Linked DNA regions of Drosophila melanogaster. The gene in region 1 interacts genetically with each later gene. Each region holds a gene or a part of one and is shown in the gene's direction. Other genes may lie near its edges.

Region 1 (5,296 bases):
CGATCAATGTCACCACTCCATCAACGTTCACCACCCAGATCATTTTGGCACAGGCTACGCCCACACCAACGCCCACAGCGGAGGAGATGAAGCTGGAGACCCATCTGTCATCCATCTCTAGTGCTTCCTCATCGCATTCATATGCCTCACCCCCACAATCACCCCGCATCTTCCAGCAAAGCTACGAACGCCTGACCACCAAGAGCATTTTGGCCAAGAGCGGCCATAACCATTTTGGCCACCAGAGCGATACCAATAACTACAGCATCGACGGCTACCTGCATGGCTCCTCAAATGCTAGCTCCTACTCCTCCTACTCCGCATCAATGACGTCCTCATCGCTGGTCTCGTCGGCCCAGTCCAACTCCTCATCCATCGCGAGGAGGCCAGCTTTCGAAAGTCGTGCTCGCACCAAAACCGATTCACTGAAGTATGCCCGCTAAAACCAAAAACCGTTCCGATAACCGTTTTTTTACCGTTTCGCTAAGTAAAATCAATCGTTTTGCGCATGAGTTTTTCAAGGAGTTCGCATGGATAGTATCGGGAAATCCGTTTTTGAGATATTATTTTTGAACCTGTTAACTATATTCTTTCGGCATGCCTTAAGCTCAATATAAAATATTAAATCTTTGAAATATTTTAGTTTAATATAAAAAGAACTTTTATACAAATTTAACCAATTCTCAACAGACATCGTCAGCACTCCCTTGGAAATTCGCATAATTCGGAATCAGCTGAATTTCAATCTATTATCGAACGAATGGCCAGTTTGGGACCCAATTCCCAGCTAAGCAAGGGTGCAGATGAAAATCTTTTGCTGTAAGTAGTTCAACTTAATGTCGAAGTAATAAAAACAAAGACTCATCTATGAATATAATTAAAATTATTTTCAGAGCCGATTATGTCACCTGGAATGGACCCAACACGAAGCTTCTTCAAAAGCAGATCACTCAAGGACCTAATGCTAGTCTTCTCACAGATCGCACCTATAAGCCAAGGGGTGGGAAATCGGAACTCTGCAAAGGACCCCAGTCCGGATTGGCGAAGGGCAGCATCTACGCCCAAGGCAGCAACAAGAGCGCCAACATCAAATGCAACTAGGCGGGAGTATCTCATCTGGAACCTCCCCCAGAGTGCCAAAGAAGTGAAGATGAATCTTAGTAGCCAAGCACCACCCTCCACATGTTCAGACTTACGATTTATATATGTCGTAGTGTTTTTTGCTCTTATCCTTAAACACCTACCAAATACCACACGAGTACGTAGACTCAACAAAAAAAAAAAAAAAAAAAAAAAAAAACGAAGTCACATTCCATCCAAGCTCCAATTGTTTTTAGTAACTCGTAAATAAACAAACTTTAAAACTAACAAACTTATTTAATATTAATGCGCGTCTGGAGAAAGGGGATTATGGGGATTATGGTACAAAAAGCACATGGGTGTAATCTAGACCTCGTCCTCGTTAAGGAGCATGTTTGGTATACCATCGCTGATGGGAAACACACGACCTGTCTCCGGGCACTCCAGTTGACCCTCGAGCACGTCGATCTCGAAGAGCAGATGGTGAAGCTTCTGCAAAAGCAGTTCATTCTCCACAATGTTTTCAGGCTGAACGGCAGGAATGTCTTCTGTGAGTTCCGCCTAAAAAACAAATTCCAATTATTAACGAATATAAAAAATAACAGGTTTTAATAGTTTAAAACTGATTAAAAATATTTGAAACCAGTAAATTTGAAATCAGTAACACTATTTAGAACCATTCTATGGTTCTTTTAGAACCATTCTATCACTTACCACCTGAGCAGCTCCATAGACCGCTGACCAGTCCAGCTTGGGAAGGATTCTCTCCACAAAAGTTGGATTAAATTCGCTCTCCACCACTTCCTTTTTGTTAATCTAAATGCAAAAACAAATAGACCGTGAAACAATCAATAGCCAGGACTTGGGACACCGGAACTCACCGTCAGTTTCAGGGGAAATCCCACTTTGACGCCCTTGATGGCCACGGAGGTCAAGAAGTTGTATGTGCTGAGTTTCATTTTCGGGCTTGTAATGGTTTAATTAATACAAAGAGATGAGGTAAACAACAATGTTTTTAAATAATAGTTGCGGTGCACGTTGTATTCCTTCTTCTTCTTGCTTTAAACATTCACAATTGGTGTATGTCATCGATACCACGATACACACTTGTCGATGTTTTGCAGCAGTTGGCAACGCGAGCAGTGTGTTAAATATTTAAAACGTCCACACTGCACAAATTTTAATTGGAATTCTCACAACTGTCGCATTTTAAGCGTTTAAATCTGTTTCTAGATGTAAATTAGGTTGGAAAACCTATAATATCAGTGACTGCGAGCGGAATAAAGGAGTGAGGAGTAAAAATGGAGGACATATTCCACTGGTGCCGCGAGGGCAACTCGATTCAAGTGCGCCTCTGGTTGGATGAAACGGAGCACGACAACAATTTGGGGTAAATCCAATAGAGGCAACTAACTCCATCACTTTCTAGTTGCTTTATAGTGCACTTAGAAAGTTAAGCCCTCAAGTAGCAACCCCCTCTACCAGGAACGTTTACTTAGTCATCGCCTAAATACGCCCAAGATTTCGAGGGTCTTTCAAGTCTAAGTGACGTCATGATTTATTCTTGTGTTGTGTAAACAGACGAATCAAATATATAAGTATACGTATGTTCATATTTGCCTGTGTGCATATCGCGAGCATAAAACCCGCTTGCCATGTTTATATTGTTCTTTACTTATAATTAGTCTTATAATCCTTTAAAAAGGACCATACCTAACTCTAAGAGCATAAGTATATAAGGTCTATAATGCTCAAATTCCACCATAATTAAAATAAATAAAACAAATAAATTCGTACACTTTAGAGACGACCATGGCTTCAGCCCGTTGCATTGGGTGGCTAAAGAGGGCCACGCCAAGCTTGTGGAGACTCTGTTGCAGCGCGGTTCGCGTGTGAACGCCACCAATATGGGCGACGACATCCCACTCCATTTAGCGGCAGCTCATGGCCACCGCGACGTGGTCCAGATGGTGAGATAAAACAGAAACCAGCTAGGTAACTTATTTAAGAACTTATCTGCCTCTACAGTTGATAAAAGAGCGCAGCGATGTGAATGCGGTAAACGAGCATGGAAACACCCCCCTGCACTACGCCTGTTTTTGGGGCTATGACATGATCTGCGAGGATCTGCTTAATGCGGGAGCCCAGGTGGGAATCGCAAACAAGGACGGGCACACACCTCTTGAAAAGGCCAAACCCAGTCTGGCCAAGAGGCTTCAGGATCTTGTAGAAAAGAGCGGCAGAGAGGTTAAGGTTATCAGCTTCAAGGAACAAAGCTGGCAGGGATTGAAGACGAGATCCCGGGATGCTACTTTGTCCCGTTTCAAGGGAATCAGTATGGGAGACCTAGACCTGCATACCAAGCTGTCGGTGACGCCATCAGGAGAAACTTGGCGCGGACGCTGGCAAAAGAACGATGTGGTAGCTAAGATCCTGGCCGTGCGTCAGTGCACGCCTCGTATATCGCGAGATTTTAACGAGGAGTTTCCCAAGCTCCGCATCTTTTCGCACCCTAACATTTTGCCTATTATTGGAGCATGCAATTCGCCACCCAATCTGGTGACAATTAGTCAGGTGCGTTGAATTTAAATAACTTCAGAAATGACCGTATAAGGTAACCATTCTATTTTCTTTAGTTTATGCCACGTTCTTCGCTGTTTAGCCTGCTGCATGGAGCAACTGGCGTCGTGGTGGACACCAGCCAGGCGGTAAGCTTTGCCTTGGATGTTGCGAGAGGAATGGCTTTCCTGCACTCGCTGGAGCGCATTATTCCAACATATCACCTGAACAGTCATCACGTGATGATCGACGATGATCTGACGGCGAGAATCAACATGGGCGATGCCAAATTCTCTTTCCAAGAGAAGGGACGCATCTATCAACCGGCTTGGATGTCGCCGGAAACATTGCAGCGCAAGCAGGCGGATCGAAACTGGGAGGCCTGTGACATGTGGAGCTTTGCTATTCTTATTTGGGAGCTGACTACGCGCGAGGTACCCTTCGCCGAGTGGTCGCCCATGGAGTGCGGCATGAAAATTGCGTTGGAAGGTCTGCGGGTCAAGATTCCGCCAGGCACATCGACGCACATGGCCAAGCTGATTTCAATCTGCATGAACGAGGATCCCGGCAAGCGGCCCAAGTTCGACATGGTGGTTCCCATTCTGGAGAAGATGCGCCGCTGAAGGAGAGGGGCAAATTCAATAAATGCCAAGCCAAAATGTGCCTTGAGAAACCTTAGATTTGCCAACTAATTGTAATTACTACTTTGTGTTACCTTTGTCTAACTGAGCCTAACCGAAAACCGTACCGAAATGGCAAAGCAAGTGCAACTGCTCTGTCTAGAGTTTATGTTTCTGTGTCTCACTGTTCTCTACTTATGATTTTCCGTCGATGTTTAGTGCGGGTGCTCGATTTTTTACTTTTTAAGTTCAATAACCATTATGATCGTATTTATACAGAAATATATTTGTTACTAATTAATCAAATCGATCAAATTGATTGTGTACCAAAGCAAATGCGGAACCACTTACGAGGGCTTTAGTCCACAGAGCTTATTCGCTGAGCAGCAAACAAGTCGGGAGCTTTCCGCCGGAGTGGGTGGCAATGCATCAGCGCAGCGGGTCGGGTAACGTGAGCACGGCGGCCCTGACCTGGTTTTCATTTCAGCACGCGATTGTGTGCAGCTCGCGTGGGCAGAGCAAACTCGGCGCTTCAGAAGAGCGCGCCGGCGTGAGAAACTCGCGGCGAGAATGGCGCAAATTTGTTGTATTTGCTCGAAATAATTTATATTTATTATCCAATATGTTTTCATTTATAGGCTTAAGGAAAGTGTGGTATTAGTTATTGGCTGATTTGCCAGTGACACTTTTTATCATCCTTAAGATTTTGTTTTGCTAACGTACTTTATATTATTTAAAATCATCTTTTAATGTTGTTTTATTTTCTTTTCTAAATTGATGTTTAAAGCTCTTAAATTATATTAGACAAGGTACTTGTGATTTCTTTTTATTTATTTTAGCTTATAATATTTTGTTGTTCTAAACGATAATTTTGTTATTTTTTGTGTCATTAAATATCGAAAATATTTGGCAAATTATGATTTACATACTAGGATGAATCATATTTTTTCATAAATAGAAAAAAAGATTTTTATATTTAAATTAAAAATACGTTTTTATATGTATTTTCTTATATATAAATTTATTTATATTTTTTT
Region 2 (5,792 bases), on another chromosome or scaffold:
GCAATGAAGAATTTATGGTTTTTGGTCGCTATTGCGGTTAGAATTTTACATAGAAAATCGAACTGCAAAGTTCAATATAATTTTATGAAAGAATCGATTACCTAACAAAGGACACTTCTCAGGCTTTGATTTTGCTACACAATACAATACAATGCCTTAATTGCAATCATATATTAATATGAGTGGAACTGAGCATAAACTATGTATTTCCAAACATTTTGGCCACCATTTCAAAATTAGCACAATTTGCGCCGAGCTGCAAAAGTTTGTCAGCAGGAAAAAAAGGCAAACAAAAAGTTAATTAAAACAAAAATTACGGACAGTGGCCGGCGGTCGTTTGGTGGCGACTGTGCCGCAGCATTAGCAGTGCAGCCAAAAATGCAGCCGAAAAATCTGCGCGCCATCTAAAACAAAAATTAATTTTTGGGCCAGGGAAAGTTTTTATTTCCCTCCCATTGCTGTTGCTGTTGTTCTTGTTGTTGTTGTTGTTTGCTGGCCAGGCGAGAGTTTGCATTGTTTTGCATATTTTATACGGCGGAAGTGTATACGGCAAAGGCACTCGCCATCATGCCAACTACCCCAACCCAAAAAAAAAAAAAAAAAAGCGAAAAAAATGGTATGTGCAACACGCAAATTATGCAGGCGCATAAGACAAACTTTCTGTTTTGCGGATTCGACAACCGGCGGGATGAAAATTAATACGAAAGCCAAAAAACGGGGTTGCCCCCCCACCCACACAAACATCTAGTTCCTACGTATTTCTGAGATCCAAAACTGCATCGGCAACTGGAGCACCGCAGAGTAATTAAAAATACAGCCAATGGCCAGAGCAGAAAAACCCCGAGCAGCTTGTACTGAAGGAGATCATATCGGCCATGTTTGCAGCCCAGAAATCTGAGTCCCTTCAAAATTTGCATCTAGCATCCATCAAATAGATAAAATTGAAGAAATGTCTCAGCTTGCAGTTCTAATAAAAACTATTAAAAAAGAAAAGAAAATTAAACTAAAATGCATTAAAAAGGGTAAAAGCCAACATGACTATATTGAATTGATATTTTATTAAATGTGCTCTAAGCTCATTTCTTATTGCACTGCAGTTTTCAGTTTATAACGGTATAAAATTCTTAAGTGGCTAAGTAATAAGAAACAGACTTACTTTATTATTACTGTTTCTATATTGTTTTCTTTCGGTTCTAAGCGCTTAAAATAGCTTATATTGTCCCAGACTTTTTGAGATTCAGGCACACAGCAAATGGCTGCCGAATTGCAAACGCGATTTAAATGGGTAATGCCAGGACATGGCGATTGTTTTATAATGCAACGTCCCCACTTTCCACTTTTGCGCCTGCAAGCTTATTACAACGGTTAGCTTTATATTTACTATCCCAAGTCGTGTCCTTACTCACTAATATATCGAAGTTTACTTTCATGTGTATATGGTGTGAGCAGCAGAAGTAAGGCAAGAACGTAAAATATAGCGAAAAAAGTCATGATGTCTCACTTCACATGGAGATGTGATAAATCATATTAAAATCTTATATGCGTCAACGAGATGGCTGCATTTAAGATATTAATCAACTGTGTAATTAACTAATCAACAAAGCGCCTATTTCCAAGTCGACAAACCACAGATTTCATGCTTTAGTTATGCCTGTTTTTTGTCTTTTCGATATAATTCAAACTGGTTTCGACACTGTAGTGAAGATGCTGGAGAAAAAGCGAAATACTTTAAACAAAATCAACAAAACCCGGTATTGAGTTTGGGTTCGATTTGTTTTTTATTTTTTCCTGTCTGCCGGCAGTGGCGACAATCGAAAAAGGCAAAAACCAGCCCCCAGCTATTATTCGGATCCCCCATCACCTCCAACTCGCCCACATCCACATCGATCGATCTTGCTGACGCTGCGAGAGATCTTCTCAGTTTCTCGAGACGATCGGACGACGCACGACGCATTCCGCACTTTGGGTCTATTTTCGTGATTAATTTCGAAGAGCGGAGACGTATTCTAATAGGAACCCATGTTCCATTCTGTAACGTGAGTGCCATATAATCTGCAGAAATCAGTACGAATTCGTCCAGATACTCAACAATTTTACGCATACAGTATGAAAAGCCTTGGTGTTTTCCTACAAAAATAGGTCAAGTGCAGTGTTTGTGTAACATAGTGACCTAAAAAACGTTTAAATTCGTTTTCATGTGGATGAAAAGTGCTGAAAACTGACCGAAGAAAAACATATGCTAACAAAAAGTGCAGTTGGCGCAGTTTGAGAGCTACTGAAAGTGGCTGCCAAAACAGTTTTAGAATTACTCTGTAAGTAATTGTGGTTCATTACTTAGTTTTAGACCAACTACACGAAAAATATATAAAAATAAAAATAAATACATTTTACAACAATATTTTATATTTTAATTTAATACATAAATTAATACATAATTTAACATAATACATAATAATAATGTTAAGTCCTTTAAGACATTTGAATATTTCATTAATCGAGCAAAGTAAAAATAAACAAAATTATATCAATATTATTAAAGAATGCATGTTATTATAAATTCAATAAATAAAACACGTTACAATTAAGTTTTTACCAATCACAAGTAAACACACTTTCTACATGTAGATATGATAACATACATCGAACGCGCGTAAAATTTATGTTGGTACCTTTTTATCAACAATTGTTTGGTGAGCTTTGATTTCACATTCATATATAAGTAGATACAAATGAATAATGAACATCTTTTTTTTTAAATAATATAAATATAAATATTATTTAATAAATGAGCTCAATACTTATTATTCGATTAAGTCATTTACAATATCTTACATTGCTTCCTGTCGATGTAAAATTACATATTTCTACTTGTCTGGCAGCCCTGAAATACATATAACAGATATAATAGCTCACATTACAAAAAAATTGCTTACAAAATTTAAAAAAGCATAGAATTAGTTTGCCAAATTCTTTTACTATTCTGCTTTTAGAAATAAAAATTTATTGACTAACCTTCAAAATAATTAATTAGAAATGTATATTTTGTTCTGGTATTTTTTAGGGCGTATTAGGAATCAACGAAAATGAGTCAGTCTTGTATACCAGTGAGCGCAAAGATGTCGAAGGCAAAGAAGGTTTTGGATGAAGCCCGAGAAACTCACAATCCCGAGTTGGATTTGGCCGACAAGGGGCTGTCGTCCTTCGAGGAGTTGCCCGGACTGTGTAAGTATCAAAACCAAAGGATCTTGAAGGAATTATACGGATTTTTGCACTTCTGAGTAAACATAATGGTGGGTTACTTCCACGCAGAATGGAGCCTCGCCCAGCTGCTAAAAAAATTGTAAATTAATAATATTCTAGCGTATGTATTTATGTTGTGGTAATAATATTCATTTAAAATGAGTCTAAGCATCTTTTTAAATGGAGTCGCTTAGTTTTATTTATTGTGATGACGCCAGCAGCAAAATATGCATAAGTTTGAGTGTAGAGAACGTAAACAAACACTGTAAATACCGCAAATAAGATGTGTATACATATCTGGGAAATGTACTACAACTCCATAACTATGACTTCATTTACATAAAATTAGAATATACTACAATTATTAATCTTAAAACCATTAAATTTTTGAGAAAAAAAAAACATTGCGCATGCCTCTGCTTATATTGTTGTCCCGCTCCAACATTCGGCGTCTATACTTGTTGCCTGCAATCAGCTGTTTGCATTTAAACCCAGTGGTGAATTCACAGTGCATTGGACAATTATGAAAAACAATCTTTGATATCACGAAAAAGGAAAAATATGTATTTTAAAGAGTTTAGTATTCTTATTAATATAATTTTTTTTGCAGTCAACATGTCCAACATCACGCGCTTGACCCTGTCCCACAACAAGATCAGCGTAATCAGTCCGGGAATCGCGAACCTACTGAATCTGGAGATCCTGAACCTCTCGAACAACCAGCTGACCGAACTGCCCGTTTCGCTGTCGTCCATGCCAAAGCTACGCATCCTCAATGTGTCCATCAATCGGCTGATAAATCTTCCTCGCGGCTTTGGAGCCTTTCCGGTGCTGGAAGTGCTCGACCTGTCCTACAACAATCTCAACGAACAGGTCCTGCCTGGTAATTTCTTTGGTATGGAGACACTGCGTGCTCTGTATCTGGGCGACAATGACTTCGAGTATATACCGAAGGAGGTGGGTCAGCTGAAGAATCTGCAGATACTCGGATTGCGTGACAACGATCTTCTGGAATTGCCCCGCGAAGTTGGGGATTTGGTGCGACTGCGGGAGCTACATATTCAAAACAATAGGCTGCAGGTGCTGCCACCAGAGATCGCCCAGTTGGACCTACTGAGCAACAAGTCGGTCATGAAGATGGAGGAGAATCCCTGGGTCAATCCCATCGCCGAGCAATATCTGCTGGGCATTAGTCACGTCATCGACTACCTCAAAACGGAGACCTATAAGATGTGAGTGCACCATAGATCCATATATCCATAAATGTATATTCATCTGATCCTTTTCCTTGACAGCATCTACAACCGCCACTTGCAAGCAGGACGCAGTGGACCGCCGCCACCCAAAGCTGACAAAAGCAAGAAGGCCTCTCGAATTCGCGCATAGTGATTCTCCACCAGAAGATCCCAAGATCCCATGGAATTACAAATGTGTTCGTCTCGTTCGTTGTTAACCAAACCCGTTTTCGTATACTAATTTATAAGTACTTTTAAACTAATGCGTATTTCTGCAATGTGCCTTGACCCTTAGTTTCACTAATGAAAATAAAACAAAATAATAGATGCATATATGTATTCCTGCTGGTTTAATTTCGGATCCTATGCGCAAAAGAATCGTTAAATAAAGACACGCTTGTATATTTTATAAAATAGTAGGTTTTTCTTGTTTTTATTATCTTTTCTCATATTCATTCTTCTTTTTTAAGAAATTTGTTCATAATCATAATTAATTAGTTTACTTAAAGTCAATTAATTAATTCTTTATTTATTTTAATTAAATTAATAGTTAAATGTTTTTTGTTTTTGTTCTTTGTTTTCTATGTTTGAGAAAAACTAAAAGCATAGTTCTGCTTTGTTCGCTTTGAGTTTGTTTCGTTTCTTTGCATTTTTTCACTTGTCAATTTGAATTGAATACATTTTTTTTTTATCAATTTATGTTATTTAATTATTTTGTAAACGTATTTCGCCTTCACTGTATCTGCAATTCAAATTTAATTTATTCCTTAAAGTATATTTTAGTATTTATATTTATATATTTTTTATAGAGTTTATTTACAAGAGTTAAAGATGTTCTTTTACGAAAAGTCTGGCAGAAAAACAAACAAAAATGTAAATTCATTTATTCAGTAAATTTCTCCAAAATGATAGCACGGAAACGTCTTGTAAATTCGAATTGAGATAATTCCATAGCTATGCGTCACGATATACAAGTTGGATGTGCGAATGGAAACGAAGACAAGGGTTTCAAAAATAATATCATATAGCTTTCAAGCTATAAATGTCTTTTCTTGGAGTAGTACATCAGTCGGGACTCCGTGAGTAGTTGCACGATTAGTTCTTGAGCATGCAAATACGAAACACAGACAAAAACAAAAAACATAAACTAGTAACCTATGAGACTACAACAAAGCAAATTACAAGCACTCGATAGTATCATATATGCATGATCTATGCACTTTAAGATACTTACATAAAAATAGATTTATATGTTGGCAGATATACACGTATATGATAGATAACATTAAACATAATCATCATTGGCAGTTTTGCTAC
Region 3 (5,278 bases), on another chromosome or scaffold:
TACCGACCGCCCGAGGAGGGAGAGGAACCGCGTCGTCCATCCGCTCGACAAACGGCGTCCCAAAGTCGTCGTAATGCTTTGGGCCAGACCACGGAGGGCGGCCAACACGATGCACAGAACGATGCTCCGCCAAAGTACACACCACCTCCGTCCTACACAACGGCCACTGGAGCCCGCCTTGCCAAGCTTCTGCGCCAGAGCATTCGCCGCAGCGTAAGAAGGTACATAAAAACCATCCCTTAATATAAACAAAAAGTTATTTACGACCAATTTATCGACACAGGGTTCTCGGAGACTCAAGTCGAACGCGACCCGTGCTCTCCCTCGATGCGGAGTCTGCTTCGCCAGCGGCGCCGCCTGATTACCTAACCATACTGACCAATCCGGCTGGCAGTAGTTTCAACGCGGATCCTTCGCCAGCTTCCAGCAGCAGTCCCGAGTCCATAGAGATCGACCAGCGACCCGTTGGCTACTCCCAACGCTCGCAATCGTTGGGCAGGAAACTGCATCGTTCGGGTGCTTCGACACTGGAGAGGCGGCCCTATACGGCGGAGGATGTGGTGACCATACTGCGCTCCTCGGTGCGACATCGCCAGTCGCAGGGAGGCGGAAATTTGGTCACTGCCAGCACCCTGCCTCGCCCCCCAACCGCCGCCATGTCCACGCACTTGGAGGACGCCTCATTCCGATCCATAGAGAATCTTGTGCTGAATGCCGAGCCACCGGACAGAACGCCCGGTGTGGAGCTGGAGCTCGAATTGGAGGCTGGACAGGCGGAGGAGTGCGCGCGAAATAATACATCTGTGATTTAACTGACTAATATCGTACCGTACATAGCGTAACTCTTATGCGATCCACATATCCGCTTGCTTTCTTAGACTTGATTAGCGCTAGTTATCTAAATACGAATATTACCTTGTAGTTATGCGAATAATAACGAAAACAACTAGTTGGTACTCCCAAGTGTGAGCTCTTTTGATCCCTACAACCGGTATTCCCAGTTCGATCCAACCCACCCCATTTAATTCCATTTCACATATATTTTAGGCTTACGGATCGCGCCTGTCTGCACAGTTGCCCTTAAAATTATCCCAACAATGGAGTAGGCCTCCTACGTGCCCAGCTCTCGAGGGTCAGCTATTTAAGGGAATACGTACTTGGGCCCTAAGCCGATTAACAAACGTGACCAGTTGAATAAAAAAAGTGAAAATAAACGGAAGTCCAGGATGGCGTAGCCAACAAAGGCGCCTAATGAGGCGGGCCAGGAAGTTGCTGCATATTTCGATTAAAATGTCACGCCATTTCTTTTGTTTTCTTTGTGACTTGCATATTCCAAAGGGATTGGCCTGCAAAAAAGTTAATCCGCGGAATTTTTAAATCAGCACGAATTGGCGGTTATTATTTTAATATCTGGCAGCGCTGGTTCAAAGAACCAGTTCAAATGGGTTGAGTCTCGGCTAGAACTTTTGTGAAGTTCACACAATAATTGATACCGTTATTTTTACTTATAATTAGTAATTTTAATGCTAGAAATACATAAATAACAATTGAGACCTATATAAAAGCAAGTGATAAGGGTTCTTATACAAGCCAATGTGTGTAGTACAACTACTCTATAATTTGGGATGATAGTTATAAAGTTTTAAATAAATATATATTTTCATGAAAATATTATCAACACTTTAATAATGAACGAGTTTTTGGACCCTTATTAACCATAATATTTGAAATTTAAGTTGGAACAAGAAACTTTTAAACTGTTGGCGAACGCGGTATTTTTTAGGCCCTTCTTGCCGGGTGAGGTTACTCCTGCATCTGGTAACACTGCTCGGCAGCGAAACAGAAACATAAAAAATTCGAACGGCGACGAGAGCGGTCAGACGCACGCATCACTTTCAATCGCGTCGCGTAGAGCGTCCAAAAAGAATTATAGTATAAACCAAGAGTGAAGATTCCGGTGAGCAAAGAATTTGCAATTGCCAAACTTAAGCAAAAACCATAAAGTGTGCATTGGCAATTGAAGTCGCGCGTTCTTAGCCAATCCACATTTGCACGGCCATTTTAAAGCCAAGTTAAGGCCAAAGTTTTCTGCCGCGCCGTCTTCGTAAGTCGCAGGTCGAAAAGTGCTCAAACGAGATTTCCACTTGAAATTCCTGAATTTCGTTTGTCTGCGCGAATCGCATCGAATCGAATTGAAGCACAAATCGCAGCAGCAGAAAAGCGCAAAAGTCGAATTTAAATTCCGTCTGCAAAGTGCCGAAAATTAGTGTCTTTGTTGTGTTAGTGTTTTGTTTCTTTGTCTGTGTGGGTGTTACGATTACGATTGGATTAGCGGTGTTTTCGCCTGATTAAAACGGTAAGTGTCCTTGCGATAATCCTGCGTGCAAAGTTAGTTAGCTGGTGCCAAGTTCGCTCGCCACTCACACACCTCCACCGCCGCCACTCACAACTTATTTTGCTGCAATTTGCTCTAGTGTTTTGTATTAGCATTTTTATGTCCCGCCTCGCCAAAGTTGACAAACAAAAACGTACACACACACACATACACGCACCGACACGTAAGCACACGCACACAAAGGATTTCATTACATTTTGGGTGGGACGTAACGGTAACGTTGAAGTGTAACGTATAACCCTCCCCTCGTTCTATCTCTTTCCCGCCCAAAGCCCCGAATGCTGTGCTACCGAATTTGTTTTCGCCTTCGCTCAGTTCTGTTTTCTCCTGTTTTTATTTATTTTGATGGCGTATTTTGCCATTCCGCTTTGTTCGTATTGCGTATCCTGTCGCCTGCGCTATCCTTCTACAGTCGCATCTGGCTAGAAGGAACTATCGTGTGCCTCAGTCACATGAAAAATATTACACTTACGTAGGTGATTTGATTTTTAAATGTATAAAGTCCCCTTCAAATTGCTAATTGAAAAATATATAAGTTCATGTACATAATCTTATTATGTCATCAATTAGAACCACAACATCTTTGGTTTCCCATTAGTATTTATAGTAACATTTTCTGAGCCCAGGGTATTCTGGTTTCACTGTACATTTTTCGCTGTCAGCTTTTCTTCCTAGTTTCTGCCAGCATTGAAATGAGTTCGCAATAAATATTGCCCAATGTCAAATAAAAGGGCGATGAGCCAGCCTTTTTCCGCCATGGCCCCTTTCCACCTCGGCCTATCTCCTCCATTCGCTCTAATCTCGGGGGACACTAATGCTTTACGACAATTCCTATGCCGTATGCCGCCCAGTACAAACTTAATGCACACATCAATGGCAAATTAGATATACTCCACAGCAAATGTACTAATAACAATCATCGAGTGCGTGTGCGGGCGGGCTTCCGATTCATCCCATACCATACCATACCATACGATACGATACCATCCCGAACCATTCCATCCCACACATACGTCCTCTCAAGACGATTGTTTTGTTGATTTGGCTGTTACTTCCAATACATTGGCATTTAAGGGGCAGAATTGGGATCCACTTATGTGCCTGCCTTATGTCTCATTTGTCGTCGGGCAAATGGAAATCGTTTTGTTTTTGCCTTGTCAAGTGACAAATTTTCATTGTCTCCCGCCACTAATCGCTTACTTAAAACAAAAAAAAAAACCAAAAAAATGAAGAAGATACCACGCCAAAGACTCCAAACAAGAAATAAGACAAGTGTAAATAAACACTTGAGGAGGAGGGAGCGTGGGATCGGGAGTCACGACTAACCGATATCCTCTGTACAGTGTGGGCGGGGGCATATACGCAATGACATTATCATAAAAGGTGCACATGCCAGAAGTTAAGTCGCGACAACTTTCCGTTATAACTTTCAATAACCTTTGTTGTTTGCTCCAATAAAAGCATTTTAATCGATACTCTTGACTTGTGTCAATCCATTCGGATTTGTTTTTGGTTACTAATGGATGTAATGTATGAAGTTATTGGGGCGGCATAAATTAAGAACTTATTTCCTTTGTGGATTTCACGTTACTAAACAGATGGTGATGTGACGCAAATGAAGTCCTAACAAAAGGATATTTATATATATGGTATTCTTTCGCCTAGCTATTTACCTGTATTTTCATATTTATAAAAATACTAAAAGGCCATTCATATTTTATATGGCGTGTGGTCTAATTACTTATTTTTATGACCTAGAGAAGCAAAGATTATAAATTAGCCGTTAAACATTCCTTTCCTCCATCGTACATACCTTTCGATACCCTGTAAATTCCAGTGTATGTACTTAGAGTACGCACACGTACTTGCCTCTTTTGGTGGCATTGCCCGCGGCACCTTCACTTGGCGCAGCTTGCCTTAATTTCCAGCGGACAAACCACTTTGTTATCGCCACGCCGAGGGCCCTTTAATCTCTGGTAGTCCCTGGTTGGCTGGTCAGACCCACCTCCATCTCCGTCGCCTGCCCATTGATTTACGTCTCTATTTTCCAAATGTAGCGCAATCGATTTAGATTGATTTTGTTTAAACAAACTGCACAGCGCAGCAGAAGCAGCAGCATAAAAGGCACCAGAAAGTGTAATAAATAATTGGAAACGGAATCGTTGGGCTGATTTTAATGCCAGCGTTAATTGCGAGAGCCACCCAATTTCATTTCCATTTCCATGCCCAATCGAAATCCAAATGCCATTCCCCAACCCTCCCCATACCTTCAACATTTTCATGCCGATGTAGCGATGCCCTAGGCCAATTCCAAATCCAAATCCAATTCCTATTCCTATTCCTATTCCATCGATGCTTTGGTAATTAGTTGTGAATTGGATTGGGGATCACATAAAAGTGTTGATTACACACTCCGATGGCTGCGCCCCCAGCCACGCCCCCTTCCCGGCTGGGTGCCAAGTGTTTTGTTTGTGTTTATCTCGTCTTCGACGTGTCTTTTTGGGTTTTTCAGAGGAATTAGGGTTAGCCGTGCGTAGTGAAAGTCGATGGGACTGCAGCAGGTGTTGGGTCCAGCAAATAAAGTTGGTCAGCAGGAAGCGTTCCAATTAATCGCATTTATCGCACGGAATTTCAACTACGCAGCCAATTAATTGGGGCAGTTTGAGATGCCAGATACTAAAGATACAGATACAGAAATTCCCACAGTTAAGCGACTGTAATTGAAATTGCACTTGGACAGACATTCAAATTATACAAATGCCTCTCAGCAAATTTGATTAGCAGCACTGAATTCTGGACAGCGTAGGGAACCCCAAACATAAACCATTTTGTCAATTACAAAAATGCTGAGCATTTTCCTTGCAAGTCATGGTCGGGGGTGAC
Region 4 (5,251 bases), on another chromosome or scaffold:
ATCTGATTTGAGTTGAGTTTTCTTTCTGGCTACAAAATAGTGGCTACGTTAAGGGGACTGTTTCTGTTCGCTTTCCGTTGCAACCCCTCGGTGGCGGGCGGTGACTTATGTAACCCTGGGGATCCGTACGCCCATTCGGTTACGGATCCATTTGGTGGGGGCCAACTTACGCAGGAAGATGCAGACCCGGCCCGCCCCTCATCAAACAACTCACCCCGACAGACATGACTACCCCGAGTGCATCAGCGAGTTATGTAACTTGTACTTTTTTCTTTCTTCTTTTCCTGCTGCCCGAGGAATTCGCCAGCGGAAGTGTGTAAGTGCGCTAGTGTATGTGTGTGTGTGTGCGAGTGTTGCGATTTGGAGTGGCGAAGTGGCGCCGCGCGGCCAAGTTAATTCTTGCTTTGGATGGCATCGATCGGTGCCTTGGCTTACGGTCTGGTGTACTTGATAAGGTGCCAAAACGAAAAACATACCTTTGTTGTTACGAGAGTACGACGAAAAATTTTCAACTGGCGAGAATCTCACGAGCCTGGCGATAGCTATAGCGATGGGCTGGCTCAAAACTATCGAGAGCTGTCACGGTGACAGCTAGAGCCAGGCTGCCAGATCGCTCAGCTATTGCCTAGTGTTCGCTAGAGTTGGCCAGTGTTGGCCAGCGTGCGATTCGGAATGGAGTCGCGAGTCCGAAACTGCGACACGCGCAGGTAAATGGAAAACACAAGTCGCCTCCTCCGCCGCTGATGATGGGAAGCAATTATCCCGAGCACGGGACCAAGCCGAGATCCGCCAAATACCACAAACAACAGAACCACCGAGTGGTGCGCAAGCAGCCGCCGCGTCCCGCTGTTAGCGACCGCCACAACATCTACATCACCAGCAAGACAGACTTTAAGGCAAGTAGAACTGAACTCATGCTGGATGGTGAATCGCCCATGTGCTAAGTGACAGAGTCCATCTCCTTGACAGGCCCAGCAGCGCCGCTGCGAGGAGCTGATTAACTCCGGCGCCCACGAGATCTTTCTGCATTGCATGGGCTTCTCCGTAACCCGCGGCCTCAATATCGCCCTACGCCTCGTCCAGAATTCTGACGGCGCCCTTAGCTACGCCATCAACACCTCCACCGTTCAGCTGGTGGACGAACTGCACCCGCTGTGCGATGCCGAGGACATAACCTTCCGCCAGCGCAACAACTCGGCCCTGCACATCAAGATCCTCAATAACAGTCTCTTCGACATCGCCGTGCCGCAACCGTCGCAGTCCCAGACGCAAGCCCAGTCCCTGGGCCAGTTCCGAGGCAAGGCGAAGGCCAGGCAGTAGCATGTTCAAACTCTCGGAGCTGGTGCGCTGGCTGGGGCTCACCGAGTTCGAGATTCTGGTCAATCTGTGCGGCCTGCTGGTGTTCACCATCACGCTGACCGTCAAGCTCCATCTGCAGGCCAGGGCCGGACCCGGTGGCATACTCCCGGAGCCCATGGGCGACTGGTTCACCGTCTTCAGCCCCCTGTTCTTCATCGACATCTGCAACGCGTACTTTTGCGTCATTGTGGGCATCCGCATGTACCTGGACTCTAACAACAAGCGCAAAGCCCTGCATCGCTTCATGTGGAGCACGTATTTCCTGGTGCTCATCGCCATCTTCAAGTACCTGCTCTGCCTGAAGCTATCCAGCAAGACGGGCCTCGAGTATTCGGAGGTCTTCTCGCCGATCTTCGTTCTGTTGCAGCTCGTGGCTGTGCGCGCCTGCCAGTTGCCCAACTCCATCTAAACCATAGACGTAGTATAGCCCTAGTTCCGTATTATACATATATGTAACTATTCTGAAAGCCTTTAAATCATTGGATTGGTAGTTATCTGTATACGCAATGTGGTACAATAATTTTTAAGCGGTACGAAATTTATCTTTCTGGATATAGCATATCTAATATATACGAATTATATCTGATCTGATTCGGTATGAAGGACATACATACATACATATGTTGTTGTGCTTTTTAATCAATGATCTAATGATCTACGCATTATAATTTTTTTAAAATTTCCAACAATTTAATTTGATGTACAAATTCAAAAACTATTAAGCTGATATGAATTTCTTCTAGCTGTTGTTGTCAAAAGCCACATTTTTTTTAAATTATAAATGAAAAATAACATTTAAGCTCATTGTTTTAATTTAATCTAAGGTCTTTTTAAACAATTTTTATAATTGGCAATTTAGTTTTTATTCGATTTTTTTGGAAGTTTCTCTTGAGTCCGAACGCCAGTGTTGGACAACATGTGTGGTGGGCCTGCGATCAGGTGGCAGCCCCAAGGGAAACTGATTGCTCAGCTCCGCCCGAAACGAATCGAAACAATAACACAAACTGTTCACTTAGTCCGGAATTCTTGGAATCCAGCAGCACCATGTCCACACTGAACCGCCCTAAATCCCCGCACACGCCCACCGCCATTAAAAAGGGCGAGAAGGAGGACAGCTTCTGGGACAAGTTCAGCACTTTGGGCCGCAAACGCGGCACCCGCGAAGGTAAGTCCACTTGATGATTGGAGCTCTCCAGATGGCTATTGTCGGCCAGGAATTGATGGGTATCCCAGAGTATTCCATTCTTGGACCCCTGAACCTCCGAAAAGTGGCCCAAAATGACCCAATGGATCCTCCCCCTGCGCACTGGAAGCTCTTCTGGGAACAGATGTGCGGATGCGCTGATTAATCAGAACATTGCGTCACTGTTGACCCACACAAGCAAACGGCGCTGATAATCGAGAGTGTGTGCGTTTGTGTGAGATGGCCTTGTGTCGTCACCGTTTTTGTTTACCTTGTTGATACCCTAAATACGCATCCGCTTGCTCCATTTGCAGTGAAGAAGGTCCAAGAGGAGGGCAAGTACGCCATCGACTCGCCTGGATCGCCCAGCCAGTATGACATCCCGCCGGAGGACTATGCCCTGCGTAAGTGCATTCGTTTTGAAGGGGCATCTCCTCGTATACCCATCGCATTTCCCACAACTCATCACATTTGATCCTACAGGCGAGCACGAACAGCGCGCCGTCATCGATCCACAGTCCATCAGTGATCCCCAGGTGATAAAGCTGCAGCGCATCCTCGTCGACTGGATCAACGACGAGCTGGCCGAGCAGCGCATAATTGTTCAGCACCTGGAAGAGGACATGTATGACGGCCAGGTGCTGCACAAGCTGTGGGAGAAGCTCACCGGCAAGAAGCTGGACGTTCCTGAGGTCACCCAGTCAGAGCAGGGCCAGCACGAGAAGCTCAACATCGTCCTGAAGGCCGTCAACCATGTAAGTAGTAGTAGTTTATGTTTTGCAGGATTTAAAAATCGGAGTTACCAACATTTAATTATTTATCCATTCTTAAAGTCGAATAGAATAATTTTTATTCGATTTACAATTAACATTCCCTTTTCTCGCGATATAAGAATAAATTTTATCCTTGCCCACACCCACAGACACTCGGCTTTCACCAAAAGATTCCCAAGTGGTCGGTGGCCAGCGTGCACTCGAAGAACATTGTGGCCATATTACATCTGCTGGTGGCACTGGTGCGTCACTTCCGGGCGCCCGTTCGCCTGCCAGAGAACGTGTTCGTGACCGTCGTGATTGCGGAGAAGAATGCGGGCGTGCTGAACGCGCAGAAGTTCCAGGAGCAGATAACGTCCGAGTACGACGACCTGGGCATGCGCTGCGAAAAGGACGCCTTCGACACGCTGATCGACTGTGCGCCGGACAAGCTGGCCGTGGTGAAGAAGTCCTTGATCACGTTCGTGAACAAGCACCTGGCCAAGCTGAACTTTGAGATCAGCGATCTGAACACGGACTTTCGCGACGGCGTATACCTGTGCCTGCTGATGGGCCTGCTCGGTGGATTCTTTGTGCCGCTGCACGAGTTCCATTTGACGCCGCAGGACGTGGATCAGATGGTCAGCAACGTGGCCTTCGCCTTCGACCTGATGCAGGACGTGGGCCTGCCCAAACCAAAGGCGCGGCCGGAGGACATCGTGAACATGGACCTCAAGTCCACCCTGCGCGTCCTATACAGCCTGTTCACCATGTTCAGGGACTTCGCCTGAGTGAAACCCGGATGGAACGAGCCAGCGGGTTGCAGGAGCAACAAGCGGCGCCAATTTTACATTTTATATTAACTTTTTGATAGTGTTTACACGCCTAATTTATGTGCGTTCTCGAAACTGATTGTAGGCGATGCAGCGGTTAAAGCTTACTGATCCTAACTCTCAAAACCACAACTAAATGCTGCGTCGCGTATAATCAGCCCAAGGAATGTTTATATATATATATATATATTTATGTGTCGTACGTCTAACCACTGCGATCTGCTCCAGATTCAGATTGCTCGGAACAGGAAGGAGCAGAGCAGAGCAGAGCTAACCCAAACCCAAAATCCGGCGGCCAGTTGTTAACTTGTCTTACTCACGTGCCAGACGTTGTAGTTGTTACTAAGTGAATTTATTGTATTAATACATTATTTGAACACAATAACCGAGATTGTGCCTTTAGATCACACAGAGCTTTTGCAAATTATGTCACAGATCAGATTTTAACGCTGTAAATGTAGAAGTTTACGGAAAAGTCTTAAAAAAAAATTTTATTGTGTACGTTAAAAATTTGGATCAGAAAAATCAATAAATATTGCCAATAGCATATGTGTTATTCTATTTTAAACAGTTCCAAGGCGCAAAATTTATCTGGGGCTGCAGCACTCACAAACGCCAGCTTCCATCCTATTCACATGTAAGTTCTTTCGAGCGTCTCGAATTGATTGAGAAACAAACCTTAGTAATTTTCTGAACGCTGTGCTATTTGAATTGTCGCGGTTGCGCGCGCAACTCGCAACGGTCTGGTATCGATCACAGCTGCGAGCAGGCTGCCAGATCGCTTCCCGTTCGGGAACGATTTCGCATCGATTTTCGATTGCTGGCCGGTATAATTTGAAAATGTTACTTTGCTGACCGGATTTTGGTCCTTGGCCAGATGTTGGCCATGAATCTAAAAGCCAGTATTTAGTAACTTGCGTTGATTGCAGCCGCTTAACTAAGCCGCTTAGCCAGATATGTCCTAATGTTATGTGTTTCGTTTCGAAACAAGGTGGCAACCATGCGCATGCTTTTTATGATTTTCACAATAGCCGAGCGAAGTTTCAAGATTCTAGAACTACCCACCACACCAACGCTTCTGCTGCGCCGCCAGTCCCACAACTACGGCTACGACTACATCAGCC

The links.
Region 2: of Ilk (region 1) and ics, changing one suppresses a phenotype caused by changing the other (phenotypic suppression), as found in Drosophila melanogaster (one study listed by BioGRID).
Region 3: of Ilk (region 1) and sli, changing one enhances a phenotype caused by changing the other (phenotypic enhancement), as found in Drosophila melanogaster (one study listed by BioGRID).
Region 4: of Ilk (region 1) and parvin, changing one suppresses a phenotype caused by changing the other (phenotypic suppression), as found in Drosophila melanogaster (one study listed by BioGRID).

Annotation. Positions count from the first base shown.
Region 1 is NT_037436.4:21,214,683-21,219,978, forward strand, and holds Ilk (integrin linked kinase), read left to right. Parts: upstream 1-2,218; 5' UTR 2,219-2,381; coding exon 2,382-2,470; coding exon of another isoform or gene 2,471-2,474; exon of another isoform or gene 2,475-2,884; coding exon 2,885-3,050; intron 3,051-3,108; coding exon 3,109-3,654; intron 3,655-3,716; coding exon 3,717-4,262; 3' UTR 4,263-4,558; downstream 4,559-5,296. Other genes in the region: CG10508 (uncharacterized protein), read left to right, coding at 1-430, 691-819, 894-1,101; Trmt112 (tRNA methyltransferase subunit 11-2), read right to left, coding at 1,447-1,641, 1,795-1,896, 1,962-2,039.
Region 2 is NT_033779.5:13,638,540-13,644,331, reverse strand, and holds ics (icarus), read left to right. Parts: upstream 1-1,729; 5' UTR 1,730-2,312; intron 2,313-3,059; exon of another isoform or gene 3,060-3,061; 5' UTR 3,062-3,083; coding exon 3,084-3,222; intron 3,223-3,850; coding exon 3,851-4,472; intron 4,473-4,535; coding exon 4,536-4,626; 3' UTR 4,627-4,885; downstream 4,886-5,792.
Region 3 is NT_033778.4:15,918,717-15,923,994, reverse strand, and holds the start of sli (slit), read left to right. Parts: upstream 1-1,876; 5' UTR 1,877-2,356; intron 2,357-5,278. Other genes in the region: bdg (bedraggled), read left to right, coding at 1-221, 284-812.
Region 4 is NC_004354.4:19,743,786-19,749,036, forward strand, and holds parvin (parvin), read left to right. Parts: upstream 1-2,255; 5' UTR 2,256-2,403; coding exon 2,404-2,524; exon of another isoform or gene 2,525-2,702; intron 2,703-2,856; coding exon 2,857-2,946; intron 2,947-3,025; coding exon 3,026-3,297; intron 3,298-3,464; coding exon 3,465-4,085; 3' UTR 4,086-4,673; downstream 4,674-5,251. Other genes in the region: Rpp20 (ribonuclease P protein subunit p20), read left to right, coding at 744-896, 970-1,320; CG33932 (uncharacterized protein), read left to right, coding at 1,322-1,768; Alr (augmenter of liver regeneration), read left to right, coding at 5,128-5,251.